Callithrix jacchus: one gene and its partners. The protein of the gene in region 2 purifies or fractionates together with the protein of the main gene of each other region. This does not show direct contact. Links are inferred from orthologs where the notes say so. Each region holds a gene or a part of one and is shown on either strand. Other genes may lie near its edges. The genes, in order: ANAPC2, ANAPC7 and ANAPC16.

The links.
Region 1: the proteins of ANAPC7 (region 2) and ANAPC2 fractionate together in Homo sapiens (co-fractionation; 6 studies listed by BioGRID and IntAct, with this or other methods). This does not show direct contact. The link is inferred for Callithrix jacchus from reciprocal best matches to the Homo sapiens genes ANAPC7 and ANAPC2.
Region 3: the proteins of ANAPC7 (region 2) and ANAPC16 purify together in Homo sapiens (affinity purification with mass spectrometry; 6 studies listed by BioGRID and IntAct, with this or other methods). This does not show direct contact. The link is inferred for Callithrix jacchus from reciprocal best matches to the Homo sapiens genes ANAPC7 and ANAPC16.

The regions. Positions count from the first base shown.
Region 1 is NC_133502.1:185,587,639-185,597,361, forward strand, and holds part of ANAPC2 (anaphase-promoting complex subunit 2), read right to left. Parts: intron 9,089-9,723; coding exon 8,914-9,088; intron 8,513-8,913; coding exon 8,393-8,512; intron 7,914-8,392; coding exon 7,796-7,913; intron 6,819-7,795; coding exon 6,637-6,818; intron 5,889-6,636; coding exon 5,747-5,888; intron 5,505-5,746; coding exon 5,429-5,504; intron 5,365-5,428; coding exon 5,161-5,364; intron 2,491-5,160; exon of another isoform or gene 435-2,490; coding exon 305-434; exon of another isoform or gene 72-304; coding exon 1-71. UniProt on the Homo sapiens protein: Together with the RING-H2 protein ANAPC11, constitutes the catalytic component of the anaphase promoting complex/cyclosome (APC/C), a cell cycle-regulated E3 ubiquitin ligase that controls progression through mitosis and the G1 phase of the cell cycle.
Region 2 is NC_133510.1:113,300,046-113,309,868, reverse strand, and holds the start of ANAPC7 (anaphase-promoting complex subunit 7), read left to right. Parts: upstream 1-3,367; 5' UTR 3,368-3,451; coding exon of another isoform or gene 3,452-3,552; 5' UTR 3,553-4,292; coding exon 4,293-4,447; intron 4,448-7,401; exon of another isoform or gene 7,402-7,426; coding exon 7,427-7,613; intron 7,614-8,385; coding exon 8,386-8,505; intron 8,506-9,823. UniProt on the Homo sapiens protein: Component of the anaphase promoting complex/cyclosome (APC/C), a cell cycle-regulated E3 ubiquitin ligase that controls progression through mitosis and the G1 phase of the cell cycle.
Region 3 is NC_133513.1:57,939,694-57,949,416, reverse strand, and holds part of ANAPC16 (anaphase-promoting complex subunit 16), read left to right. Parts: 5' UTR 1-18; intron 19-1,118; exon of another isoform or gene 1,119-1,241; intron 1,242-4,263; exon of another isoform or gene 4,264-4,286; 5' UTR 4,287-4,313; coding exon 4,314-4,455; exon of another isoform or gene 4,456-4,493; intron 4,494-9,723. UniProt on the Homo sapiens protein: Component of the anaphase promoting complex/cyclosome (APC/C), a cell cycle-regulated E3 ubiquitin ligase that controls progression through mitosis and the G1 phase of the cell cycle.

The DNA of each region.
Region 1 (9,723 bases), on a different chromosome or scaffold from region 2:
AGACATCCTCCGCCGCAGCAGTGCCACGGGCATCTTCACCGCCTTGCTCAGCTCCTCAAGGGTCCAGCTGGCTGCATGAAGAGTGACCAAGACCCTGGGCAGCCTGCAGATGGGCTGCCCCTCCCCTGCCTCCTGTCAGCCCAGAGGTCGGAGGCCCAGACCCCCCCCACCTTGCCCGTGGGAAAAGTAAGGGTGCTGCCTGCTGGCTTGGCTGCCCCAAACCACACCCTCACTGGGGAGCAACCCCTCACCCATGGCAGGGCCGTGGGGCCAGAGCAGACCAGCTGGGGGCCGGTGGACTCACCTTGGTCCTGAAAGTACAGCAGAACCACCGCCTGTACCGGGGTGACTGCCACAGACAGTGTACGGTCAGCCAGCTCCACGTCCATGGTCACCAGGCCCAGAGTGTGCTTCCAGCTGAGGGTCCGCATGGCCTAAGGAGGGCTGGGGTCAGTGTGGGTGGCTCGGCTGCAGGGGGCCGAGGCTCATGGGCTCTGCCATGTGGAACCGGGTGACGAAGGGCTCTCAGAGCTGCCTGCCCCACCCTGCCCCCGGCAGACAGGTGAGCAGCGGGAGCACAGGACTGGGTGGGCCCCACCTGCTCAGCTACCACAAAACAGCAACGGGGCCAGTGTCACAAGATGTGTCCCGGAAAAGCTTTTTGTGCATCCTAACCCCCCCGTGCTTGGAAACGTGGCTGCACTGGCAAACAGTGGACAAGGTCACACTGGCGTGGGTGCAGCCTAATCCAACTGACTGGCGTCCTTTTTTTTTTTTTTTTTTTTTTTTTGAGACGGAGTTTCGATCGTTACCCAGGCTGGAGTGCAATGGCGCGATCTCGGCTCACCGCGACCTCCGCCTCCTGGGTTCAGGCAATTCTCCTGCCTCAGCCTCCTGAGTAGCTGGGGTTACAAGCATGCGCCACCATGCCCAGCTAATTTTTTGTATTTTTAGTAGAGATGGGGTTTCACCATGTTGACCAGGATGGTCTCAATTTCTTGACCTCGTGATCCACCCACCTCGGCCTCCCAAAGTGCTGGGATTACAGCCTTGAACCACCATGCCCGGCTTGACTGGAGTCCTTCTAAGGAAAGGATGGATGACGGAAGACACGGGCGGCGGGAGGGGTCACATGAGGACAGAGGCCGACGAGCCACGCGGCCACAAGCCAGAAAACACCAAGGGCTGTGGCAAAAGCCAGAAGCTGGAGGGCAACAATCTCTTAAGAGGTTTCTGGGGGAGTAGGGCCCTGCCAATACCTTAATCTTGACTTCCAGCCTCCAGAACCAAGGCAGTTTATTTCTGTTTTTTTAAAGCCACCCAGTTTGTGACACTTTGCTACAGCAGCCACAAGAAATAAACAGATTTTGCTACCAGGAAGGGCGCTGCTGAAACGTGACACCAGGAATGGACCCCCTAACAGGTGCTTCTAGTAAGGTCTAGGGCAGAGTGAGCGCGCTGCTGTGGCCGGAGGAGGCAGCAGAGAGCCTGGCGGGCTGGTGCTCTGCTGCTGGATGGAAAGTGGGGCTGCAGTTGATGAGCCTGAAGGCTCAGCTGAGATTTACAGGCAGCGTGGAAGGTGAGGCCTGGCTTCTCCTTGCCACTTAATAGCAGAATGCAAGAGGGAAAAATCAGTGAGGACGGAAACATTAAGCAAAAAGGCACCAGCCCTTGGAGATTTGAAAAATGCTCTGATGATCCAGGCAGCTCTGAGACACAGCTAAAGCTGTGGCTGGACCAGGATTTGCAAGAGATGAGGTGTGATTTGCACATCCAACCGTCTCAGCAGGAGACGGGCAGGTGGGGCTCCAGGTAAGGGCCGCAGGGGGCCTGGACACTGGTGAACTGCACAAGAGAGAAACCAACGAGGTTTGTGAGAACTTTACCAGCAGAAATGCTGCCAGGCTGGACTGAGAGGCAGGCAGGCTCCAAGAGCAGAGCCGCCGACGCAGAGGCCAAGGCTGACGGGGTGGGGCTGACCCCGCAGGCCAAGGGTGGAGCACTGAGCCCAGGATTCGCAGGCCGTGGCATCAAATTGAATTTGGCTGCTGGGTTTGGACTTGGGGTGACCTGCCACCCTGTTTCCTTCCAGTTTTCCCTATTGGGGTGGGAAGAGACATTCTATGCTTGTCTTACCGTTGAATTTTTGAAAGAGAGCATCTGCTGCCTGATTTCACAGCATCCAAGCTGGAAAGGAACGGACACACCCCAAGTCTCACCTGGACCTCATTTAGTTGCTATTTACATGCTGAGATGTGGGACTTCGTGTGGATGGTATTTAGATGAGATTTTGGACTTGGACTTGAGGCTGAAATGGTGAGGACTTTTGGGAATACTGGGTATAATTGTAACTTGCATGTGGGAGGGCCCACCATGGGGCAGATTGTTGTTATGTGCCCCTCCAAAAAAGACACATGAACTGCTAACTCCCTGAACCCCGGATGTGATCTTATTTGAAAATATGGTCATTAAAGATATAATTAAGATGAAGTCACCCTGGAGTAGAGTGAGTGTCCAAGAGGGGGATACAAACAGAACAGGGGAACACTCCGGGCGACGCAGCAGAGACTGGACCGAGCCATCCACAAGCCCCGGAGCTCCTGCAGCCCCCAGAGAGCTGGTAGAGGCAAGGAAGCAGCCTTCCCCTAGGGCCTCCAGAGGGCCCTGCTCACCCTGACCTCTATAAGATGATACATTTCTGGTCTTTTAAGCCCCTTGGTTTGTGGCACTTTGTTCTGGTGGCACCAGGGCACTGACACGCCTGCTCTGTGGGCCACAGGCTCCTAAGCCCTTCCAGGATCTGGCAACTCTTTTTTTTTTTTTGAGACGGAGTTTCGCTCTTGTTACCCAGGCTGGAGTGCAATGGTGCGATCTTGGCTCACTGCAACCTCCGCCTCCTGGGTTCAGGCAATTCTCCTGCCTCAGCCTCTCAAGTAGCTGGGATTACAGGCACGCGCCACCATGCCCAGCTAATTTTTTGTATTTTTAGTAGAGACGGGGTTTCACCATGTTGACCAGGATTGTCTCGATCTCTTGACCTCGTGATCCACCCGCCTTGGCCTCCCAAAGTGCTGGGATTACAGGCGTGAGCCACCCCGCCAGGCCAATCTGGCAGCTCTTAAAGGAAACGAACCCCACTTTACGGACAGAAGATAGAGGTGGAGTCAGTGGTTGGCCTTGGTCCTGGCTCTGGCTCCAGGGCCGTGACCTCCACGAACACCACTCATCAGCCTGCACCAGAATGGAAGAAGGGCTCAGGAGCAACAAGCTCAGGTGCAGATGCTGAGGGCTGCATGCCAGCCATGTGCCCAGTGAGCTCAGGTGCAGATGCTGAGGGCTACATGCCAGCACATGCCCAGCAAAGTGCCTAAGGTACAGATGCAAAGGGCTGCATGCCAGCCATGTGCCCAGCGAGGCCCCTAGGCCAGGAGCTCTGCTAGTGGGACCTCTCAGCACAGCCCGGCACCTTCCTGAGCCATCCTGTATCCCGTGAAGTGAAGACAAAGGGCACTGGAGTATGGCTGCCCCAGGACGTCAGGCCCGAGGAATGGGAAGTGGCTGAGCCACACTTGGGATCCCAGGGGGACCCTGGAGGGAGGCCAGGGGAGCCTCGCCCAGAAACAGCACTGGAGAGCCTGAGGCAGCCAGAGGGTCAGTGGGAGAGGGACTGTGCATGGAGCCCGGCCACACCAATGACTTGTACCAGAACATGGCAGGGCGGGGGGCAGGGGGCGGGGGAGGCTCGGTGCCCGCAGACTCTGGAGACACAGGCTGGAGCTGGAGGTGGGGGGATGGCCAGGGCCCTCCTTTCCACCGGGGCAGGCAAGCTGCGGGGGATACCTGGACTCTTCCAGAGCCAAGCTGAGGCCTGGAGGGAGGCAGCAGGCACTCGCCACCAAGATCAGCAGCCTGGCCCAACCTCCGCCTCCTGCCCCGGGTGCCTCTACCTGGCCCTCCCCTTGTCTGTCTCTGCAACTTCCCCCTTAGTTTCTAAAGTGGACTCATCACCTTGCCCTCCCCTAGGAATAAGCTTCCTTAGTCTGTCAACACAGCAAGGCCCTCTCACTTGGCAGATAAAAAAAGGAAACACATCTAGACCCAGCGTCTGTCACAGCAGGCCTGGAGAAGCTGGGGACCCTCCTTTGAACTCAGCCCCACCTGCCGGCCTTGGCCCAGGCTGCGGCTGGCCCATCTCCCTCCTGGGGTTGGGGTCTGCAGCCTGGAAACCAGCTTTGCCCCAGGACCCTCTCCTCACGTGTCCCCTGCTGGGGTGCTCAGCTCCCCCCAGGCCTGAGCATTCGCTGGGCACACCGGAGGCCTCACGGGCCCCACACACCAGACTGAAAGCCCTGGGACCTGGCTGCACAGGGGTCCTAACCTCTTCCCTCGACCCAAAACATCTCACCTGAACATGAGCTCAGGGAAAAAACCTCCAAGCGTGGTCCCATACCCAGGGCCCTGGATACCTGTTCTGGGACTGCTGGGATTGGTGGTGCTGCCAGGAGACGTGAGCCAAATACGGCCGATACCACCACTCTGGGCACGCTGGCCCCACTTGCCAGCACCTCCAGGCCAGGGCTCGCTCCTCCAGTCCCCACGTCTGCTTCCCCCCGACTCCCACCACAGTCCCACAGCCCTGGTCCTCAAGCACCATGGGAACCTGCAAATGCAGTTCTCCGGGAAATATCTAGAAACAGGGGCAGGGCTGGGGCCCCAGGGTCAGGTGCGCTTGGGAGCGCTGCCCTGGGCAGAGGGTGGCCCTGGCTCCCTGGCCCTCACCTGCAGTGACACAAGGCACCCCAAGTCCTGGTTCTGAGAGGCAGAGGGCAGATGGCAGAAGAGGAGGAAATGCTCAGTGGGTGCGGCCTGCTGGAGCCACGGGAGTCCCCGTGAAGCAGCACAGGAGATGTGGGCCTAGCACAGCCCACCCGAGCACCTGTGGGGCCGAGGGACGCTGGCTCACAGGGGGCACAGGCTCACTGTGAGGAAGGCAGAGGGAGTGTGGACTGGGCCCACTCCATCTCCTGCAGGGATGGCTGTGAGACATAACCAACCCTAGACACTCGGGAGACAATGGGGTGGCCATAGGCACCAGGCTGCTGAGCCCGCAGCACAGGGTGAGGTGCAGAGAGCCCTGTGGGGTGGCTGGCTTGGAGGTACCTTGAGCTGCTCGTACTTCTTGCAGTAAGCCTCCAGGGCTGCCCTGATGTCCTCAGGGACCTCCAGCTTCTCATCCTTGAAGGGCGGCCAGAACTCACTGGACAGGATGACAGCATAGACCCCGAATGGCGGCTGCTCCTCCACCGGCCGCTTCTCGTCCTCCTCCCGGATGTTGGCATTGATGCGGCGGGAGTCCGCCATATCCTGAGGGAGGAGCTGGTGTCACGGGGGCCTGGGGGTGGCGGGCGGTGGGCGAGGCGGGACCCACCTTCAGCATGACCTCGCAGAAGTGCATCGGGGCCTCGCCAAAGCGCAGCTTCAGCAGTTCTACGTTGCGGATCTCCCTGGAGAGACGAACCAGTGTCTGGGCGGGGGTCGCAGGGGCTGCAGTCCCAAGCAGCACCTGTAGCAGTCATGGGTGCACCTCCCGGGCAGAGCAGGGGGCCTGCGTGGCACCCCGGCGGCCAGCTCAGCCCCAGCCAGGAGTGGGGGTGGCACACAGTCCAACCAGGCCCAGGCCCTGTCCTGACAGGCTCAGCAAGGGCCCCAGCACCCCTGGAGACGGCTGGCGCCTCCCTGGCCTCACCGCTCCGGGCTGAAGCTGAGCTGGTGCAGTAGGCGGTCGGCCAGCAGCGAGCGGTACTCATTGATGAACAGGTCCTTGCTGCCGTAGATGCTGACCAGCAGGCTGATAATGTCTGAGGAGCGCCGCTTGGAGCTGGACTTCCCTGGCACAGCGGGGGCAGGGGTGTCACCTGATAGGCACCTTGGCAAGGATAGGGCACCCCCCTCCCATCCCACCATGCCCGAGGCATAGCCCAGCATGGCTTTTCCTGAAGGCCCTCGAGGCTGGGAGCAGCCCGGCACCTCCCAGGAGACCAGGAGTCGCATCCTAGGGCAGCAGCTTCGATCCCCAGCCCCTCCCGTCTCACAGGGACCTCCCCGGACCCTCAAGTAGGCTTAGGGTACAAGCCACAGGTTCTGGGGTTTTCCTCTGAGGAAGACTAAAGACAGTGAAGACTTACCATCTGGGCCAGGGCTGGGGCCAGGCAGGGGTCCCACAACTCTCAGAGCTCCGCACACTGCGGCCAGGGACAGATGGGCCCTGAGCAGTAGCTGTCACCTAACGGGACTCTGAGGCCCACACCAGCAGCGGGTGCAGGGGCCATGCACGTTTTCCTTCACTCCTCTGCCAGATGTCATGGCGGGGCAGGGGACACCCCACAGCTCACAAGGGGCGGAAGGAAGGGCACCTCCCATGGCTAGAGTGACCAGCCACAGAGGGACATAGCCCACCCTGGGCCTGCCCAGGCCGGCGGGGGTGGAGCACTGCCCTGACCTTGGACCCCTTCAAGCCTCTGGGGCACTGGCCACACGTGACACAACCAAGCTATGCGGCCAGAGAGGAGCCCAGAGTGGCTGGCCTAGCCGAAGCCTCCATCCATTGGCGAAATGGATGCTGTGGGGCAAGCTAACCTGGATCAGCGTCCACGGGGTCTGGGACCCAGTCCTCAGGCTCGCCCGAGTCATCCTCACTGTCCTGGCCCGTCTCCAGGCTTGCTGGGTCAGTCTTGGACAGCTCAATGGCCAAGTCCCCCGTCCCGTCCGAGTCCCCCGTCAGCCCGGCCACGATCTGCCGCACCGTGTCCTCCCGCGTCCTGCCGGCATGAGCACTGCTGTGGCCCATGGTATGGATACCCCACATGCCCCTCCCACTGCCCACGCCAGCCCCGCCCCGTCTAGGCCAGCACCACCACCCCTGCCTCTACAGCCACCGATGACGAGCTGTGCACTAAAGACAGGCCTGTCAGACTCCCTGAAGAACGAACCCGGCGCTACAGGTTCGGGTTCGGCGCTACAGGTCCTGGGAAGCAGGAGCTGTGAGGGCAAGGCTAGCCTGTGTGCCCACAGGCCCAGCTCTGTGGCACACTGAGGCAGGACGGCTTGAGCCCAGGCAGGTGCCCAAGGCTGCAGAGTTGATTCTGCCACTGCACTCCGACACAGTGAGAGCCTGTCTCAAAAATAGGAAAAACTTTAGAAAAAGAACCAGCCCAGAAGCCAGGCCCATTACAGCCACAAAGCAGCGAACAAGTCCAGACAGGCGCCGGAGTCCCAGTGGCTCCTGCTGCTCAGGCCTGGGGCCGCGGGGCCTCTTCGACTCCCGAGGAATTTCCAGGCAGCTGTGGCAAGGCCCTCATTCCAACACATTCTCCACCGAACAGCCCGGGGAGTGCCTGCTCCTTGCCGTGGAAAAGGCTGGGACGGACAAGGAGAATGGGCAAGGAGAGCCCATTCTCCTTGCCTGGTTGGCGCGTGGGGGCCTGGTCAGCGCCAAGGCAAGGCTGAGCAGATGAGCTTCTCTCTGTGCTGAAGAAGGGGAGGCCACGGAAGGGCTGCAGGGGGGCCTCTGGTAGCTGCACACAGAGGGGACGGTGACACCATGTGACAAGGACAGGTGCCCAGCACAGGCAAGAGTAAAGGAAGGAGCCCTGGGCCTGAGCCCGTACACTCAGCCCAGCTGGGGGAGACCTTGTATCCTGAGGGCCAAGCACACCCTCCGCTGCCCCCAGGACCACCGGGAGCTCAGCAGGACACCTGGGGTCCCCGTGGCTCCTGGGCCAGCTGCAGCCCTCACCTCAGGTAGCGGCGGATGGGCTCACAGGCCACCTCCAGGATGACCATGGAGGGATCCAGCACGCGCAGCGCCTTGATGGCAGAGATGTAGAGGGTGATGATGTCACACGTGTTGACGCCTACAGCCGGGGAGATGCCGGTGGTCATGCAGTGCCTCCCAGGGGCCAACGCCTGAGTGGGCTGCTGGCCACACCGGTCAGGTTGTCTACAGATCCCTGCTGCAGCCTCCTTTCCCAGGAGACCAATATGACCGCAGAAGCTGCTCCCCTCGTCTGCCCATCCCCCCATTCCCCCATACCCCCGTCCCAGCCTCTCCCTGCTCACAGGCCCTCCCTGCTGGGTAGTGTGTTCTGAGAGAACCAGGTCTCAACACCCCAGACCACCTGGCCAGTCCCAACTCCCTTCAAAGAAACAAGCAAGCTGACGGGTACCCCAGATCCCCTAAGCACCCCACCAATAGCTTCTCAACCCATTTCTTCCTTAGACCTGTAAGTCCAGGGCTAGAGACTGGGTCCCCAGCTCCCTGGACAGGAGCCCCCTGGTAGTGTCTGAGCCCTGAGGGCCAAGCAGTGGGGCAGCAGCAGCCAGCACACAGCACCTGGATGCAGCAGCCGCGTCTCCAGGGCGGCCTTGAGGGACACGAGCAGCTGCTGCCTCTGGTCTGTCCTCTCCAGGCAGTACTTGAGGTCCTCGATGGCTGGTCGGGAGTCTGGGAAGTCTACAAGTAGAGGGACATGCCTCAGGGACAGACACGGACACGTGCACATGTGGGGGGCTCGCCAGCCCTGGGACGAGGAGACTACCCACTAGACCCAGACGTCCCCCCAACATTTTGGCGTGCTGATGCATTTGACCAGAATGCCACAGGGTGGACACAGTGACAGCCAGGGGCCAGTCCCCAGCAGGAGCCAAGGCTGAGGGACCACAGGAGTAGACACTTAGGAGCACCACCCAGTGTTTGCCGCACCTGCCCGGATCCAGACACGGGGATGCCTGCAGAGGGAAGGGTACCAGCCCTGCAAGCGCGACAGGCAAAGGTGCAGGGAACCCAGACGTGGACAGGAGAAGGGACACAGCGAAGGCCCTGGGAGGGTACCCCAGACGGGAGAGTGGGTGGACCTCGGATGATGCTGAAGAGCTCCTCGATGCGCAGGCTGGCATAGATGCGGTAGAAGAACCTCTGCACATGGCAGCGCCAGCGGCGCAGGGTGTTGCCCGCCTCGGGAGATGCGGGCCTGGAGGGGCTGTCCTGCAGGAACACCTTGCCGAGCCAGCCAACCACCCGCTCGATCCACTGTCGGGAGAACACGAGTGTGAGCTGCAGGGAGGCGTGGTGAGCCCACACTGACTCGGAGGCTGGGAGGAGCCCAAAGGGGCCGTCTTGGTCCTCCTGCGAAGCCAGAGCCCAGTGCCCACACGCGCACCAGTGCCCACACTTATCAGTGGCAACAGCAGCCCTAGCGCGAGATGTGACGGACATGCATGACCCGTGCGCTGGGCCTGGGAGGCACACTTGCCCCCACTTAAACAGATAAACCCGCCCTTGGGACTGGACGGGTGACTGGCCACCCCCATGCAGATGACACTGCACATCACAAGGGCATCTGAGTGAACACAAACCCCGAGCGGCAATTCCGCCACAGGGGCCCAGGCGTGCACATGCCGACAGGCGGCTACCCAGTGGCAAGACACACAGACGGTTCACCCTCTTCACCGTACTGCCCACTCTACCCCACCACCGTGGAGATGCCCACCCGCCCTCTTTGAAAGCCCCACATCTCGGCCAATCTGCACCTCAGTAGGTGGACCCCGCAGCACTGGGGAGAGGAGAGGTGTCAAGTGGGGCCAGGGTGGGAGTACCCACGTGACTGGGCCCAGCTCCCCCATGGCTCTGGAAGTGCAGAGCAGAGCCCCGGACCACACCCCAAC
Region 2 (9,823 bases):
TATTGAGATATCATTTATTTTTTTGTCTTATCTTTATAAAAAAACTAATTCATGGCCAGGCGCAGTGGCTCACACTTATAATCCCAGCACTTTGGGAGGCCAAGGCGGGTGGATCACGAGGTCAAGAGATCGAGACCATCCTGGTCAACAAGGTGAAACCCTGTCTCTACTAAAAATACAAAAATTAGCTGGGCATGGTGGTGCCCACCTGTAGTCCCAGATACTGGGGAGGCTGAGGCAGGAGAATTGCTTGGACCCAGGAGGCAGAGGTTGTGGTGAGCCGAGATCATGCCATTGCACTCCAGTCTGGGTAAAAAAGAGACTGAGACTCCATCTCAAAAAAAAAAATTTTTAATTTATTTCGGCTGGGGGTGGTGGTTCACTCCTAAAATCCCAGCACTTTGGGAGGCTGAGGCAGGCAAATCACTTAAGGTCAGGAGTTCGAGACCAGCCTGGCCAACATGGTGAAACCCCATCTCTACTAAAAATACAAAAATTAGCTGGGCATGGTGGTGGGTGCCTATAATTCCAGCTACTCAGGAGCCTGAGGTGGGAGGGTTGCTTGAACCCGGGAGGAGGAGGTTGCAGTGAGCCAAGATAGCACCACTGCACTCCAGCCTGAGTGACAGAGCAAGACTCCATCTGAACAAAAAAAAAATAAATTTATTTATTGCAAAATTATACTTCTACCAAAGTAGAAGTATATTTTATGTAAAATCAACTTCCCCTATTTTATGCATACAATTCAATGATATTTAGCTGCCAATTTACAAAGTAATGCATTGATCATTACAATCCAGTTTTCAAACATTTCCATCACCTCCACAAAGACCCCTCCTATCCAATTGTAGACCCTCCCATTTCCATCCTTTACCCTGAGCAACAATTGATCTACTTTCTGTCTCTATCAGTTTGTCTTTTCCGGAAAGTTCATACAAATAGAGTCAGATTATGTAAACTTTTCTAGTCTGGCTTCTTTCGCCTAGCATAATTTTATTTTTAGCATATATTTGAGATTCATTCATGTTGTTTGTTTTTTTTAAAATGGTGTTCATTGTATGAATATGCCACATTTTGTTTATCTGTTCATCAATGAACATTTGAATTGTTTCCATTTTTGTGAACATAGATATGGTTTTAGAAAAAAAGTGTAATAGCAAACATTTGTACAGTGCTGCAAGGGAGCCAGAGATCACATCCAACCCCTCTTTTAGCTCTTAGTGGGTTCTTGAGCTGGATCTAGAAAACAAACTGACACCAGAAAGATTAACAAGAGAAAAGTGTACAAATTTTGTTCGTTTCACATGTACGGGGTGGCGGGGGGAGGTGCTACACAAGAATCTGAAATCTGAAGAAGTGGCCAAATGTGGGCGCGGTGGCAATCCCAGCACTTCCGGAGGCTCAGGTGGACGGATCACCTCAGGTCAGCCCACTGCTTCTTCCACGGAGGAATTCCAGACCCTAAATGAATTTAATACCAGTCTGGCCAATATGGTGAAACCCCATCTCTACTAAAAATGCAAAAATTAGCCAGGCTTGATGGCACATGCCTGTAATCTCAGCTACTCAGGAGGCTGAGGCAAGAGAATCTCTTGAACTTGAATCAGGGAGGCGAAAGTTGCAGTGAGCCAAAATCGCGTCACTGATCTCCAGCCTGGGTGATTGAGCGGGACTCCATCTTAAAAAAAAAAAAAAAAGTTTGGCCAGGCACGGTGGCTCACCCTGTAATCCCAGCACCTTGAGAGGCTGAGGCGGGCGGATCACCTGAGGTAGGGAGTTGGAGACCAGCCTGACCAACATGGAGAAACCTCTTCTCTACAAAAAATACAAAATTAGCTGCGGGTGGGGGCGCATGCCTGTAATCCCAGCTACTAGAGAGGCTGAGGCAGGAGTATCGCTGGAACCCGGGAGGCAGAGGTTGCGTTGAGCCAAGATTGGTCCATTGCAGTCTAGCCTTAGCAGCAAGAGCGAACCTCTGTCGCAAAAAAAAAAGTAAAAAAAATGATGCAGCTGGGCGCGGTGGCTCACGCCTGTGATCCCAGCACTTTGGGAGGCCGAGGCGGGCGGATCACAAGGTCAAAAGATCGAGACCATCTTGGTCAACATGGTGAAACCCCGTCTCTACTAAAAAAGATACAAGAATCAGCTGGTGCTCGCGCCTGCAGTCCCAGCTACTCAGGAGGCTGAGGCAGGAAAATTGCTTGAACCCAGGAGGCGGAGGTTGCAATGAGCCGAGATTGTGCCACTGCACTCCAGCCTGGCGCCTGGTGACAGAGAAGGCTCTGTCTCAAAAAAAAAAGATGTCCACCAAAAGCAAATTGAAGGTTACATCCAGGAAACGAGAGTAGGGGATGAGATGGGAAAAGGATCTGCAGAGCTTCGACTGTGACAAAATGTAAGAACTGAAAAAGTTGACTGGTGAAGATACACTGTGATTTTTTTTTATAGCATTTCTTTGCATGTTACTGTAAAAATCAAACGAAAACAAAATATAGACCAAAACGCCTGTCTCCTTCAAGAAAGGAGCAACAGGCTATATCTGAGAGGGTGATTGTGCAGAATATTCGGACTCTGCTTCATTCGCTGTTACCTCCTTGGTCCCTGTATACACTTGATTTTGCGATGCAACATATTTAACCACTCGATGGGATTCCAAGTCAACCATTTAACAACCTGAGCACAACATTTAAGCAGGCGGTTTCTTGCCCTGTGAGAAGGGAATGACAACTTCGACTTTATGGATTGGCTTGTGAACATCCAATAACTCGTGTAAAACTTCTGTAAAACGTTAACTGTGCTAGGCACATGCTGGTTTATAGGGGTATCAGCTCATTCCTGGATCCAGCCTTTATTTCCACGGATCTAGGGAGTCATTTCATAGGGTAAAATATGCCCCTCGAAACAAGGAGTTCACCCTAGGCGACAAGCCTGATTGTGACACAAAACATCTGAGGAGGGGCGCGGCGGCCCCTGCCTGGTGCGCATGCGCAACTGTAAAAGCCGTTAGGTCTGTCCCTGGCGCCCGATTAGAATATTTCATTCCAGTTGCAGCGTTTTTTTCCTCACCATTAATATATTTCTGGTACATGCCCACAGATTTTAATGTCTGAGAGGCACAAATTCCTCTCAGACGCATTCAAATTGACCGAGTAGTCTTATAAGGTTCCTTTTGCCTCATTGTAAATCCGCAGTAAAGTTTGCAGTTTAGGATGTGACGTAGTTTTTACGTAAAACTCACAACTCATTCCACCTGAAAGGAACCACGACGGGAGTAGAAATTCGAGTTTCTTTTTATACGGGCACTTCAGTAGTTACCTCTTACTTGGGGGAGGTGCCGCGTGTGGACCCGATGGACCCCGACGCCGCCGCCATTTTGGAGTTTTCCCTAAGGATCCTCTACCGGCTTTTCTAGTCACAGTTGCCGCCGCTGCCCGCGGCCTTGCAGGGCAGGATGAATGTGATAGACCACGTGCGGGACATGGCGGCCGCGGGGCTGCACTCGAACGTGCGGCTCCTCAGCAGCTTGTTACTTACAATGAGTAATAACAACCCGTGAGTTGAGGCGGGGAGCGGCCTGGGGCTGAGGAGAAAGCGGCGGCGGTCTGGGAGCGCGGGCTGAGGGCGCGTGGGAACAGGCGGGAAGGAGCGGCCGCCGGCGCCAGCGGAGGCTCCGGGGTCAGCGAAGGGCCTCGTGGAGCGGAGCGGACTTCGGAGCGCAAGTTGAGTTCATTGGGTGCCGGCGTTTTTGCAGGGCCCCGGCGTCAGCTCTCCGCGGGGATGTTGGCGAGCGGCGGCTTTGAGAAATGGAGGGCGGAGGCTCTGAGGACGACCCTGGCGAGGGTTTCCCGAGGCACCTGTCGCGGGGCAGCGCGACTGTCAAATCGCTAGGCTGAATCCTCCCTTCTTGGCTCCTTCCCGAAGAACTTTTTTTCTCGTTGCAACTCAGGGACCCAGCCTCCTGGTTTTGATGTCCTGGCCCCGCGTCTGATATTGGTACCCCCCGTTAAGTGTGTCAGGAGGATCTACTTTCTCGCCCTGGGAAACCCCTGAAAACGGGGCCTGGTGCGGTGGCTCACGCCTCTAATCCCAGTACTTTAGGAGGCCGAGGCGAGAGGATCGCTTGAGCCCAGGAGTTCAAGACCAGCCTGGGCAGCATAGGGAGACCCTGCCTCTACGAAAAACAAAAATTAAACAATTAGCCGGTGTGGTGCGCGTCTGCGGTCCCAGCCATTCGGGAGTCTGAGGCAGGAGGAGCGCTAGAGCCCAGGTAGTCGAGGCTGCAGTGAACTGTGATGGCATCACTGCTCCCTAGCGTGGGAAACACAACGACAGCCTGTCTTAATAAAAGGAAACAGGGCTGGGCGCGGGGGCTCACTCCTGTAATCCCAGCACTTTTGGAGGCCGAGAATCATGAGCTCAGGAATTCGAGACCAGCCTGGCCAACATGGTGAAAACCGTCTCTACTAAAAAAATACAAAAATTAGTCAGGTGTGGTGGGCGGGCGCCTGTAATCCCACCTACTCGGGAGTCTGACGCAGGAGAATCGCTTTAACCCAGGAGGCGGTTTGCAGTGAGCCAAGATAGTGCCACTGCACTCCAGCCTGGGGACAAGAGCAAGATTTGTGTCAAAAGTAAAATAAGAAACAAAGTGACGGGAGACTCCTTTGATGGGTGGGCGTGGCACCTTTTCGTATCCATGAAGCATGGGGCTGATTCCAGCCTCTGCATGTCCATCCTCTGCTTAAAATCCTTTGTTACACACATGAAAATTCTTTCCCGTGACCTCTGAAGGCAAACATCTGCCCTCCGCTCTCTGCAACTTCATCTCATTACTCTGTTCACTGTTCTTCAGCCTCCCTGGCTATTCTATTTTGTTTTTATTTATTTTTAGTTTTTTAGACAGATTTTCATCTCTCGCCCAGGTTGGAGTGCAGTGAGGCGATCTCAGCTTACTGCAGCCTCTGCCTCCCGGGTTCAAGTGATTCTCCTGCCTCAGCCTCCCGAGTAGCTGAAACTACAGGCCAGCGCCACCTTGCCCAGCTCGTTTTGTTAATTTTAGTAGAGACGGGGTTTCTCCATGTTGGTAAGGCTGGTCTCAAACTCCTGACCTCAAGTGATCCGCCCACTTCAGCCTCCCAAAGTACTTGGATTACAGGCGTGAGCCACCTAGCCTGGCCTCATTAGTGTGTTTTGTACCTCATTAGTGAGACCCATCATTTTGCCAACATCCACTTCATGTTGACAGGAGCCCTGGTCTAGGTCAGCCTTCTGTGTTTATCCCGGAGTCTTTCTCTTGGTTCTGAGTGATTTGTCAAACCATACAGTTTCCATGTTACTCTTAGTAGGCCCCAGTTACTCTTAGTTCTCAAAGATGTTACAGGATAGTTTGAAACAGTTTAATTTTCTGGCTAGACCAAGTTTAGCCCATGCTTTTTCATACTAGGTTAGATGGGCAGTTTCCTAGTTTCAGGACATGTTTAAGTTCTGACCTTCATAATTTATACTTTAAAATTTCTTGTGGAATAGTCAGTAGACACTTAAATTCAAACAGTGGAGAAGGGGCATGCAGATCAGAATCTTTCCCTGAGTCTTGAACCTCACCCCACCATTTCTCCAGAGGCAATAACTTTTTTTCTTTTTTTTGAGGCAGAGTCTCGCTGTGTCACCAGGCGCCAGGCTGGAATGCAGTGGCACAGTCTCACTGCAACCTCCACCTCCCAGGTTGAAGCAGTTTTCCTGCCTCAGCCTCCCGAGTAGCTGGGACTACAGGCGTGCACCACCACGCCCAGCTAAGTTTTGTATTTTTTAGTAGAGACAGGGTTTCACCGTGGTCTTGATCTCTTGACCTTCTGATTCACCTGCCTCAGCCTCCCAAAGTGCTGGGATTACAGATATGCGCCACCATGTCCAGCCGGTGCCTGTATTTTTTTTAAGAGGTGGGATTTCACTATGTTGACCAGACTTTAGGCTCAAGCAATCTTCACACCTCAGTGTCCTGAAGTGTTAGGATTACAGGTGTGAGCCACTGTGCCTAGCTTGTGGAGAAATTAACTATCTACAGAATTATTTGACTCACTTTGTTCTTTCATTATAAGCAGCTATAGTTTTTACTTGTCAAAGAAAAACAGTAAACTTCAGCCAGCTGTGATGGCTCACACCTATAATCCCAGCACTTTGGGAGGCCGAAGCAGGTGGATCATGAGGTCAAGAGAAATTAGCCAAACCTGGTGGCACACACCTATATTCGCAGCTACTTGGGAGACTGAGGCAGGGGAATTGCTTCAACCCCGAGGGCAGAGGTTGTAGTGAGCCAAGATCATGCCACAGCACCCTAGCCTGGCAACAGAATAAGACTCCGTCTCAAAAAAAAAAAAAAGAAAAACAGCAAACTACTTTCTTTTATTTGGGAAGGAATGAGATTGGAATTGAAAATATGAGTTCCACATTAGAAATAGTGACCAACTTCTAGTCACTTATAATTCTTTTTTTTTTTGGAGACGGAGTTTCGCTCGTTACCCAGGCTGGAGTGCAATGGCGCGATCTCGGCTCACCACAACCTCCGCCTCCTGGGTTCAGGCAATTCTCCTGCCTCAGCCTCCTGAGTAGCTGGGATTACAGGCAGGCGCCACCATGCCCAGCTAATTTTTTGTATTTTTAGTAGAGATGGGGTTTCACCATGTTGACCAGGATGGTCTTGATCTGTTGACCTCGTGATCCACCCGCCTCGGCCTCCCAAAGTGCTGGGATTACAGGCTTGAGCCACCGCGCCCGGCTCACTTACAATTCTTGACTAAATACTCAAGTTTTAAAACATTTGTTCAGGCTGGGCATGGTGGCTCATGCCTGTAATCCTAACACTTAGGGAGGCCGAGATGGGCAGATTGCCTGAGCTCAGGAGTTCGAGACCAGCCTGGCCAACATGGCAAAACCCTGTCTCTACTTAAAAAAGCCGGGCGTGGTGGTACATGCCTGTAATCTCAGCTACTCAGGAGATGAGGCAGGAGAACAGCTTGAACTTGTGGGGTGGGGGTTGCAGTGAGCCAAGATTGTGCCACTACACTCCAGTCTGGGTGACAGAATAAGACTCCGTTTCAAAAAAAAACGGCAGCGGCCTTGGATTGAAGGGGAAGAAAAGATGTATTACATTTTCTCTATGTACCTCCTACTGCATTTGATTCATAGGTATCATTGCTTTTATGTTAAGTAAAGAAAAATTGTATTGAACAATAGATATGTTTATCATATTAGCACAGAGTTCAGCTTCCACCTTTCATGCCTCTTTAGGGACTAGCACTTGACGTACATTGACTCTTTTGTAAACTGTCATTATACAAGGCTTTGTGCTAGGCTTATGTAGACACTAACAGTGTTCCTTCTAAAATTTCAAAATAACCCATGTAGGGGATATACTTTCTTTGTTTTCTAGTGAGTTATTCTCCCCATCTCAGAAGTACCAGCTTTTGGTGTATCATGCAGATTCTCTCTTTCATGATAAGGAATATCGGAATGCTGTGAGTAAGTATACCATGGCTTTACAGCAGAAAAAAGCCCTAAGTAAAACTTCAAAAGTGAGACCTTCAACTGGAAATTCTGCATCTACTCCACAGAGTCAGGTAATTGAAGATAGGATTGTGTGATTTTTTTTTTTTTTTTTTTTTTTTTTTTTTTTTTTTGAGAACGTCTCAGAATTTAGAATGGGGTCCCTAGGCCCCAGTGTCTGGTTTCTTAGGAACCAGGCTGCACAGCAGGAGGTGGGTGAAGGGTTAGCAAGTATTACTGCCTGAGCTCTGCCTCCTGTCAGATCAGCTGTGGCATTAGATTCTCATAGGAACACAAACCCTATTGTAAACTAGGCATGCAAAGATCTAGCTTTTGTGTTCCATATGATAATCTGACTAATGCCTGATGATCTGAGGTGGAACAGTTTCATCCTGAAACCATCCCCTCTCCCCCCATCTGTGGAAAAATTGTCTTCCTGTTGCCGAAAAGGTTGGGGACCACTGATTTAGACGATAGCCGTTTAGATGTAGAAGATGAGACCAGGCACAGTGGCTCACACCTGTGGTCTGAGGTGGGAAGACTTGAGGTCAGGAGTTTGAGACTAGCCTCAGCATTTTGAGACCCCTGTCTCTACAAAGTTGGGCGTGTTGGCACACACCTGTAGTTGTCCAGCTACTCAGGAGGCCAAGGTGGGAGGATCGCTTGAGACTAGGAGGTCAAGGCTGTGGTAAATTATGTTTACACCATTGCACTGCAGCCTAGGCAACAGCGAGACCCTGTCTCAAAAAACAGTTGCTGGGCCATATGATAACTATATTTAATGTTTTGAAGAACTGTCATACTATTGGAATAATGTTTCAAAAAGATGTTTTCATTGTCTCTTAGTGTCTTCCATCTGAAATTGAAGTGAAATACAAAATGGCAGAATGCTATACAATGCTAAAACAAGATAAAGATGCCATTGCTATACTTGATGGGATCCCTTCAAGACAAAGAACTCCCAAAGTAAGTTGAATGTTTATGTGTTTTTATCCTCAGCCCTCCTAACCCTGTTCGCTCCGTGTTTTCTCAAATTCATGTAAACATTTTACCCATGACTCTAATTCTCATTTTCTTCCTCTGTTCATGGAGTAGGGGTGGGGGTTCAGAGAGAGATGAATGACTTTTCTATGATATCCTGAAAATTCAGCTGATGAAAATGATAGCTGGAGAATACTACAAATGCTTATTCTTTTTTTTATATATATTTAATATTTTTTTAAGAGTCTCACTGTCACCGAGACTAGAGTGCATTGGTGTGATCCTGGCTCACTGCAACTTCAACCTCCCAGGCTTAAGCAGTCCTCCCACCTCTCTTAAATAGCTGGTATTACAATTGTATACTGCCACACCCAGCTAATTTTTTTAAATTTTTATTCATTTTTTTGAGACGGAGTCTTGCTCTGTCGCCCAGATTGGAGTGCAGTGGCGTGATCTTGGCTCATGCAACCTCCGCCTCCTGTGTTCAAGTGATTCTCCTGCCTCAGCCTCCTAAGTAGCTAGGATTACAGGTGTGTGCCACCATGCCCAGCTAATTTTTGTATTTCTGTTTAGTAGAGATGGAGTTTCACCATGTTGCACAGGCTGGTCTTGAACACCTGACCTTGTGATCCTCCCACTTCAGCCTCCCAAAGTGCTGGAATTAATGGTGTGAGCCACCACACCCAGCCTTGATGTTCTTAAATGAGGATCTGTTTTAAAAGTAACTTACTCTTTCCTCCCCTCCCCTTTCTTCCTTTCTTTTTTTTTTTCCTTCTTCCTTTCTTAGAGCCTCACTCTATTGCTAGGCCGGAGTGCACCGGCACAATCTTGGCTCACCGAAACCTCTGCCTCCTGGGTTCAATTGATTCTTCTGCCTCAGCCTCCCAAGTAGCTGGGACTACAGGCGTGTGCCACCATGCCCAGCTAATTTTTTTGTATTTTTAGTAGAGATAGGATTTCACCATATTGGCCAGGATGGTCTGGATCTCCTGACGTCATGATCCGCCCGCCTCAGCCTCCCAAAATGCTGGGATTACAGGCATGAACCACCGCTCCCAGCCTGACTTTTTCATTAGGTATTCTTTTAAATGACAGTCAAGTAGCTTAAAAGAAATGGTGATATTTGTTGAGACAGTTGGTCTGTCAGTCATAGTTTGTTAATATAACCAGCAGTTGGCTGGGCACAGTGGCTCACACCTGTAATCCCAGCACTTTGGGAAGCCAAGGTGGGTGGATCACAAGGTCAGGAGTTTGAGACCAGCCTGACCAACATGGTGAAACCCTGTCTCTACTGCAAATACAA
Region 3 (9,723 bases), on a different chromosome or scaffold from region 2:
GAGTAGCTGGGACTACAGGTATGTGCCACCACACCCAGCTAATTTTTGTATTTTTAGTAGAGACAAGGTTTCACCACGTTGGCCAGGATGGTCTCCATCTCTTGACCTCGTGATCCGCCCTCCTCGGCCTCCCAAAGTGCTGGGATTACAGGCGTGAGCCACTGCGCCTGGCTTCAATTTGCATTTTTGCTGACAGTCTAGTTATAGTAGTTGCTTTACTGTTCCCATATCCCACTTCACTATTAATCAGTGTTACTTGTAATGAAATCAGAAACCAAGCTCTGCTTCTCTAACAGCTTTAAATCATCATCACAAAATTAAGCAAACAAAACAGCCAATGTTTCAAGACATACTATATCATTTTCATTACTAGAAAACTGGATTTTATATATATATATATATATATATATATATATATATATATATATTTGTATTTTATTCCCTCACTCTTTTCTGTTATCAAAAAACATGACCAGGTGCAGTGGCTCATGCCTGTAATCCCAGCACTTCGGGAGGCTGAGGTGGACAGATCACCTGAGGTTGGGAGTTCAAGACCAGCCTGGCCAACATGGGGAAACCCCGTCTCTACTAAAAATACAAAATTCGCCAGACATGGTGGCGCATGCCTGTAATCCCAGCTACTCGGGAGACTGAGGCAGGAGAATCACTTGAACCCAGAAGGCAGAAGTTAAATGAGCTAACATGGCACCATTTCGCTCCAGCCTGGGCAACAAAAGTGAAACTCCGTCTCAAAAAAAAAAAAAGAAAAGAAAAGTTTCAGACAGGCATGGTAGCTCACACCTATAATCCCGATACCTTGGGTGGCCAAGATGGGAGGATTGCTTGAGCCCAAGAGTTCCCGACAAGCCTGGGGACAACATGGTAAGAAGTTGTCTCCACCAAAAGTAAAAAAAAAAAAAAAAATAATTAACTGGGCATAGTGGCATGCCCCTGTGGTCCCAGCTACTTGGGAGGTTGAGAGGTTGGAATATTGCTTGAGCCTAGGAGGTTGAGACTGCAATGAGCAATGATCAGGCCACTGGACTTCAGCCTGGGTGAGAGAGTGAGAACCTCCCTAGAAAAAATAAATATATTTCAACTTTTTTTTTTTCTTTGAGATGGAGTTTCACTGTTGTTACCCAGACTGGAGTGCAATGGCACGATCTCGGCTCACCGCAACCTCCGCCTCCTGGGTTCAAGCAGTTCTCCTGCCTCAGCTTCCCAAGTAGCTGGGACTACAGGTGCGCACCACCATGCCCAACTAATGTTTGTATTTTTAGTAGAGACGGGGTTTCACCTTGTTGACCAGGATGGTCTCGATCTCTTGACCTCGTGATCTACCTGCCTCAGCCTCCCAAAGTGCTGGGATTATAGGCATGAGCCACTGTGCCCAGCCTCAACTTTTTATAATAAATATGTTCATGTCCAACTAACAAAAAAAGCGCTAATGAAAAGTATTCAGGCTGGTCTGGGTGCAGTGTTGTTACACTAACTGATCACAACCCGCTACAGATATCTTTGTTCCTTTTTCACTCCCACTGCTTCACTTGACTAGCAAAAAAAAAAAAAAACTCAGCTAAAATTCTCTCTGACCATTTCAGAGGGATATTCATTTTACAGTCCCCGTTTTTGGCACAATCTCAGCTCACTGCAACCTCCACCTCCCAGGTTCAAGTGATTCTTCTGCCTTAGCCTTCCTAGTAGCTGTGATTACAGTTGTCTGCCACCACACCCAGGTAATTTTTGTATTTTTAGTAGAGATGGGGTTTCTCAATGTTGGCCAGGCTGGTCTCTAACTCCTGATCTCAGATAATCCGCCCATCCCAGCTTCCCAAAATGCTGGGATTACAGGCCTAAACCACCATGCCCGGCCTACAATCCTTTTTGAAATAGTTTTTTTAAGTAGGCTAAAATTTGCATAACATAAAATTAACTATTAGCCATCTTAAAGTATACAATTCAATATAAAGTTATTTTTAATATAAATACTAGAACTTTATCCATTACAGCAGCCAGTAGCCACATGTGGTAACTTAAATTTTAGTTAACATTAAATAAAATTTAAAATACAGAAATACACTTCTTCAGCCACACCAGCTTATAGGTGCGACATGAAGCTAGTGGCTACCATGTTGTGCAGTGCAGAAATAGAACACTGGAATCTTTCCATCATGGCAGAGAGTTCCATTAGACACCATGGCACTAGACCATTTTTTCTTTTTCTTTTTTTTTTTAAATGGAGTCTGGCTCTATCGCCCTTCCTGCCTCAGTCTCCTGAGTAGCTGGGATTACAGGCACCTGCCACCACACCTGGCTAATTTTTGTATTTTTAGTAGAGACAGGGTTTTACCATGTTGGCCAGGCTGGTCTTGAACCCCCCAACCTCAGGTGACTGTCCGCCTGAGCCTCCCAAAGTGCTGGGATTACAGGTGTGAGCCACAACACCCAGCCATTTTTTCTTTAAAAAATACTATATACACTTTTTTTTTTTAAGATGAAGTTTCACTCTTGTTGCCCAGGCTGGAGTGCAATGGCACGATCACGGCTCACTGCAACCTCTGCCTTCCAGGTTGAAGCAGTTCTTCTGCCTCAGCCTCCTGAGTACCTGGGATTACAGACATGTGCCACCACGCCCAGCTTATTTTTGTATTTTTAGTGGAGACAGGGTTTCCCCATGTTGTCATGCTGGTCTTGAACTCCTGATCCCAGGTGATCTATATACACACCCGGCCACTATATACACTTTTTTGAGGGCTCAGCACAGTGAGACTTTGGGAAGCCAAGGTGGGAGGATCACTTGAAACCAGAAGTTAAAGACCAAAGTAGGCAACATAGCAAGACCTCATCTCTAATTAAAAAAAGAAAGAGACGGGGCACAGTGGCTTATGCTTGTAATCTCAGCACTTTGGGAGACCAGGGTGGGCGGAGGACTTGAAGTCAGGCATTAGAGACCAGCCTGGCCAACATGGTGAAACGTATCTCTACTAAAAATACAAAAATTAGCTGGACATGGTGGCTCCTGCCTGTAATTCCAGCTACTCAGGAGGCTGAGGCAGGAGAATCATTTGAACCCAGGAGGCAGAGGTTGCAGTGAGCCAAGATCATGCCACTGCATTCCAGCGTGGACAAGAGCAAGACCCCGTCTCAAAAAAAAAGGAAAGAAAATACTGTAAACACTTTTTAGAATCTATTGTTAAAGTCCTGTAAGCTTCTGTGGTAAAGGGAGTGTTTTGTTTTGAACTTTCGTAAGGTGTCATGTATTCAGTACAGTTTTCTTGTTAACATTTGAATTTTTTATGTGAAATACGATTAAATACAGCTGCTCTGTTCATACTAGACTTTGATTTCCAAGATCATTTTCTGAACTTTTTTTTGTTCCAGTTTTGGGACGCCACCAAGTGATAAATTTGGGTATTACATTTGGATGAAAAGGTTAATTTTTTTTTTTTTTTTTTTTTGAGATCGAGTCCTGCTCTGTCACCTAGGCTGGAGTGCAGTGGCACGATGTTGGCTCACTGCAACCTCTGCCTCCCGGGTTCTAGCCATTCTCTTGCCTCAGCCTCCCAAGTAGCTGAGATTACAGGTGCCTGCCACCACGGCCAGCTAATTTTGGGGGGTTTTTTGGGTTTTTTTTTTTTTTGGTATTTTTAGTAAGAGACAGAGTTTTGCCATGTTGGCAAGGGTGGTTTCGAACCCCTGACCTCAGATGATCTGTCCACCTCTGCCTCCCAAAGTGCGAGATTACAGGCGTGAGCCACTGCGCCTGGCCAAAAGATTAATTTTTAATGAGAAGGCCAAGATATATTTCCTAACTAGTTCCCCTTCCTTGGGAACAGAACACAGTGTTATTCTTAAATTTTATTTGGAAAATATTATAGGTGAATTTCTTGATGTGGCTTGATCAGGATGAATCCAAAACAAACTGTCCTGTGAAGTGTGGTGGTTTTATCCTCATATAACTTATTTTTTCTGTCAAATTTCTGCTTTATTGCTGCCATACCACCTCTTCATAACTCATAAATCACCCACAGTTGATCTCAGTTGACATAAACTGTTTGCTAATGGTAGGAATTTGTGTTTTAAGTGTACATACTATTCTTAAGCGTATTTTCAGTTCAAAACCTGACATTTTGGCCTGAGACATCAATAAAAGATTGTGAAAGTAGAGAGGGTAGAAAAAAGCGGAGCTAACTCTTAACAAAACTGTATGCTGGCCCTTATGGCAGCTAAAATGAAATGTCACTCTCACTTCCATAAACTTACCAATTGCTGTTTTTTCTCTGTAGTGAAGTAAGAATTCTACTAGAGAGGAAATGGCTGCTTCATCCTCCTCCTCCTCAGCTGGTGGTGTCAGTGGAAGTTCTGTCACTGGATCTGGTTTCAGTGTCTCAGACCTTGCCCCACCACGGAAAGCCCTTTTCACCTACCCCAAAGGAGCTGGAGAAATGTTAGAAGGTGATCTCATGCTGCTTTCCGAATAATTGGATTCAGACCTGCAATGAATATTAATTGTAAAGAAGCTATTAAGTGGATTAAAGATTAGTTTGTCCTGATTTCAGCCCCATATTTTATCTCTTGTCCCCATCTCAAAATATCTTTAAAAACAAATATTGCGGCCAGGCGCGGTGGCTCACGCCTGTAATCCCAGCACTTTGGGAGGCCAAGGCGGGTGGATCACGAGGTCAAGAGATCGAGACCATCCTGGTCAACAAGGTGAAACCCCGTCTCTACTAAAAATACAAAAATTAGTTGGGCATGGTGGTGCACACTTGTAGTCCCAGCTACTTGGGAGGCTGAGGCAGGAGAATTGCTTGAACCCAGGAGGCGGAGGTTGCAGTGAGCCGAGAATGTGCCATTGCACTCCACTCTGGGTAACAACAGCGAAACTCCGTCTCAAAAAAAAACAAAAACAAATCTTGCTCTGGAATCAGAATTTTTGAGCTGAAAAGGACTTTGGAAATCAAGGAAGTCATCTAGAGTTATTTAGATCCAGAAAAGTTAAGTGATTTGACCATGTTAAAGGCAGAGTCAGGGCTGGGCACGGTGGCTTACACATGTTATCTCAGCACTTTGGGAGGCCGAGGCAGACAGATCACTTGAGGCCAGTAGTTGGAGACCAGCCTGGCCAACAAGGTAAAACCCCATCTCTACTGAAAATATAAAAATTAGCTGGGCTTGGTAGAACGCACCTATAATCCCAGCTACCAGGGAGGCTGAGGCAGGAAAATGGCTTGAATCTGGGAGGTAGAAGTTGCCAGGTGCTGAGATCGTGCCACTGCACTCCAGCCTGGGTGACAGGGTGAGACTCTGTCTCCAAAAAAAAAAAAAAAAGGCAGAGTCAGCACTGAAACCAGGAATTCTCTTGACCTCCTACTCGAGTTTGCTTTATCCTGGCACCTGTCTACCTCCCCATGGTAGTAGGTTTGATGTATATTTTTCTAGTGGGACTGATCTACAGATAGATTCACCCTGTCAGGAAGGTTCTAAGAGGAAATAAAAGCTAATGTATTGCCCTTTTATGTGAACATGACTCCTGACCCACCGCAGGATGATGCTATGTGGTTTTTTTAGCCCCAGAGCCAGATTTACATCAAATCTTTCACCATCTTATTCAGCACCACTGGCCGGCTATACAGGCTATAAGCATGTTACTTGAAGAGCTACACAAATAATTCTTCACAGGAGCATAAAAATCATCCAAAGAGCTTATTTAAAATGCACATTTCTGTCCGGGTATAGTGGCTAACACCTGTAATCCCAGCACTTTGGGAGACCAAGACGGGTAGATCACCTGAGCTCAGGAGTTCAAGACCAGCCTGGCAAACATGGTTAAATCCTGTCTCTACTGAAAATACAAAAATTAGCCAGGCATGGTGGCAGGTGCCTGTAATCCCAGCAACTTGGGAGGCTGGGGCAGGAGAATCACTTGAACCTGGGAGGCGGAGGTTGCAGTGAGCCAAGATCCCACCACTGCACGCCAGCCTAGGGGACAGAATGAGATTCCTTCTCAAAAATAAAAATAAAATGCATATTTCTGGGCCCACCTTAGTGCTTCTGAATTACTCTACAGTATAGCTCAAGAATGCATCTTTTACCAGCATCCAGGGCCTTCTCTTGAAGGCAGTCTTTCATATTTTGAAAAACATTGGGACCAGGAATGGTGGCTCAAATCTGTAATTTCAGCACTTTGGGCAGGGAATCCAAGGCATGAGAATTGTTTGAGGCCAGGAGTTCAAGGCTACAATGAGCTATGATCATGCCATTGCACTCCAGCCTGGGTGACAGAATGAAACTGTCTCAAAAAAATAATAAATTTTTTAAAAGCATTGGGAGGCTGGGCACAGTGGCTCACGGCTGTAATCCCAACACTTTGGGAGGCCAAGACAGTCAGATCATGAGCGAGGTCAAGAGATCAAGACCATCCTGGTCAACATGGTGAAACCCTGCCTCAAGAAGAATTACTTGAAACCAGGAAGCAGAGGTTGCAGTGAGCTGAGATCGTGCCACTGCACTCCAGTCTGGCAACAGAGTGAGACTCCATCTCAAAAAAAAGCATTGGGAAAGAGCCTATTAAAGATTCAAAATTTACTTGATTCTAGCATTTTAGTGCTTAATTATATATTGATCTTTTTTGCTTTAAGTATTGCAAATTTTTTTTTTTTTTGAGACGAGTCTCACTGTGTCGCCCAGGCTGGAATGCAGTGGTGCAATGTCAGCTCACTGCAACCTCTGCCTCCCAGGTTCAAGCAATTCTGCCTCAGCCTCCTGAGTAGCTGGGATCACAGGCGCCCGCCACCACACCCAGCTAATTTTTGTGTAATTTTAGTAGAGACAGGATTTCTCCATGTGTTGCCCAGGCTTGTCTCGAACTCCTGACCTCAAGTGATCTGCCCGCCTCAGCCTCCCAAAGTGTTATGATTATAGGCGTGAGCCACCGTGCCCGGCCTTAATATTGCAAATTTACACAAATATATTTTAAAACTAGGAATATCTGTGAAAAAGATACAAACTATAGGCCAGTGATTCACACCTGTAATCCCAGCACTTTGAGAGTCTGAGGCAGGCAGACTGCTTGAACCTAGGAGTTTGAAACAAAATCCTGTCTCTAGAAAAAAATGCAAAAACTATCTGGGTGTGGTGGCATATGTCTGTAGTCCCAGTTACTTAGGAAGATGGGGTGGGAGGTTCACCTGAGCCTGGGAAGAAGAGGTGCAGTGAGCTATGATCACATCACTGCACGCCAGCCTCTTGTCTCAAAAAAAAAAAAGATATAAACTATAGATATAAGATATATTGGCCTTGGGGGTGATGAATAATCAGAAATAATTAAAAGAGTTTTGAATTAAGCCAGTAGATGACCAGGTAGTGTATGTAATTAGTGATACATATACTTTGCTCTTTGCCTTTTTAATTGTGTTACCTAAATACTCAAGTTAGTATCACTGAGTCTGGTTGGAAGTAGTGAAGAACTGGGGCCCTGTTTACCATATTTGGTGCTAAAACTATATTATGACTTCTTTTATATGTAGTAGCAGAGACCTAGTATTAAGGAAGTTTCCCACAAAACAAAAGTGGAAGACACTTAAATTGCTTAATGAGTTTTATAGCAGCAGAAGAATCAGTATTCAATAATGGAGCTCTAAGATTAAAGTCATTTAAGTTCTAGCTATAAGAGGAATTTAATACAGGAGGCACCTCCACAGTCTCAAAGCTATCAGCATTCTTTGTCAGTATACACCAAATTGTGGGGAGATATTGAAGAAGAAAGGCTTCTGAGATTAGTCTGAATGTTGATGTTCTAATGCGTTATAGAGCTATCCATTTTTATTCCATCTCAATATGCTTCATGCATGGAGAAATGTGTTGGGTCTCTGTTGTAGGATACATTTATATTAAGTGTAAATACACAGTGCCCAGTTTTGATTCTTAGATTTCAAGTTTTACCAATAATCTTAAAGCTGCTTAAACTTAAAAATGTGAAAAATAACATAGAGAAGCTTAATTATATATTGGATTATTTTGCTTTAATATTCTTAGTCAAATCAAGAATATTAAGTTGAAAAGAGTACTCTTAAATGTGCATGAAGATATTGGATTTGCTACCATGTTTATAGGTGATACTATTCTATTATACAATTAATCTAACACACATGTACCTGACCAATAATAGTTTAATAGAATATGAAAATAGAGCAAGAAGGGTTACCTGTCAAGAGTAAGGTAAGGAACAAAAGTAGTTAGGAATCAAGGATGGATGCTGGGTTTTTTTTGTTGGTTTTTTTTTTTTTTTTTTTTGAGATGGAGTCTCATTCTGTTGCAAGGCTGGAGTGCAGTGGTGCAATCTTGACTCACTGCAACCTCTGCTGCCTGGGTTCAAGCGATTCTCCTGCCTCAGCCTCCCAAGCAGTTGGGATTATAGGTGCCTGCTGCTATGCCGAGCTAATTTTTATAGTTTTAGTAGAGACGGGGTTTCACCATGTTGGCCAGGCTGACCTCAAACTCCTGACCTCCTAATCCACCTGCCTCAGCCTCCCAAAGCGCTGGGATTACAGGCATGAGCCACTGTGCCCAGCCAGATGCTGTTTTTAATCTCAACAGGTTCAACTTGTTGTTATATCTCATGAGTATAGGATAGTAAACCAGATTACCTGTAGTTAACCTTGTGAATTAACTTTTTTGTGCATCTGCTCTCTGATAACGAACATCTCACATAAGCAGTATATAGCAGTTTTCAGCATTCTCCTGCCCTTGGCCAAAATTGTCTTCACCCCGTTATTAGTGAGCAAGTTAGAGACTGCCTCCCAGCCCACTAGTGGCCATATTTTTGTGACATTGTAAGCCACTGAAGCATAAATTGTCTGCATTGTCTAATTTCCTACTGTGAGGTAATTTTTTTAATGTATTTGTTACCATCTTTTTTTCCTCGAGACGGAGTTTCGCTCTTGTTACCCAGGCTGGAGAGCAATGGCCCGACCTCGGCTCACCGCAACCTTCACCGCAACCTCCACCGCAACCTCCGCCTCCTGGGTTCAGGCAATTCTCCTGCCTCAGCCTCCTGAGTAGCTGGGATTACAGGCACGCACCACCGTGCCCAGCTAATTTTTTGTAATTTTAGTAGAGACAGGGTTTCACCATGTTGACCATGATGGTCTTGATCTCTTGACCTCATGATCCACCCGCCTCGGCCTCCCAAAGTGCTGGGATTACAGGCGTGAGCCACCGTGCCCAGCCTACCATCCTTATTTATTGGAGTTGGTGATGGTGTTAGATTTGGGCAATTTACTGAACTTTTCCCTGTTTATAACCTTTGCTTTTCCCTTAAGAGGAAAGCTGATGTATTGCTACTTGCTGTGTTACAAAGGGTTTGATTAGTTTCTAAATGGAAGAGATTGCCCCCAGCTGACTCCACTCTGGAGAAATTCCAGGCTTTAGACTGGTACTGATACCACATCTAATAGGATGTGGCTAAGAAGCAACTGGATTTTGTGATTAATAGGGAGCTGCACATCAGCAAGTGTGTGTCCCACAGGCGTATAGTGTGGTGGAGTGACATGCAGAGGTGCCTTTTTTAAAGTTTAGCTTGTATCCTGCTTTGAAGTTCACTGCCAAGGAAAATATGCAAATGTCACAACTTAACCATTTTATCCTAATGGTGCCTGTGATGAAATGTAAATGAAAGGTGGCACTTCCAAGAGCTTCCATATACATCTTGGCCTGATCCTT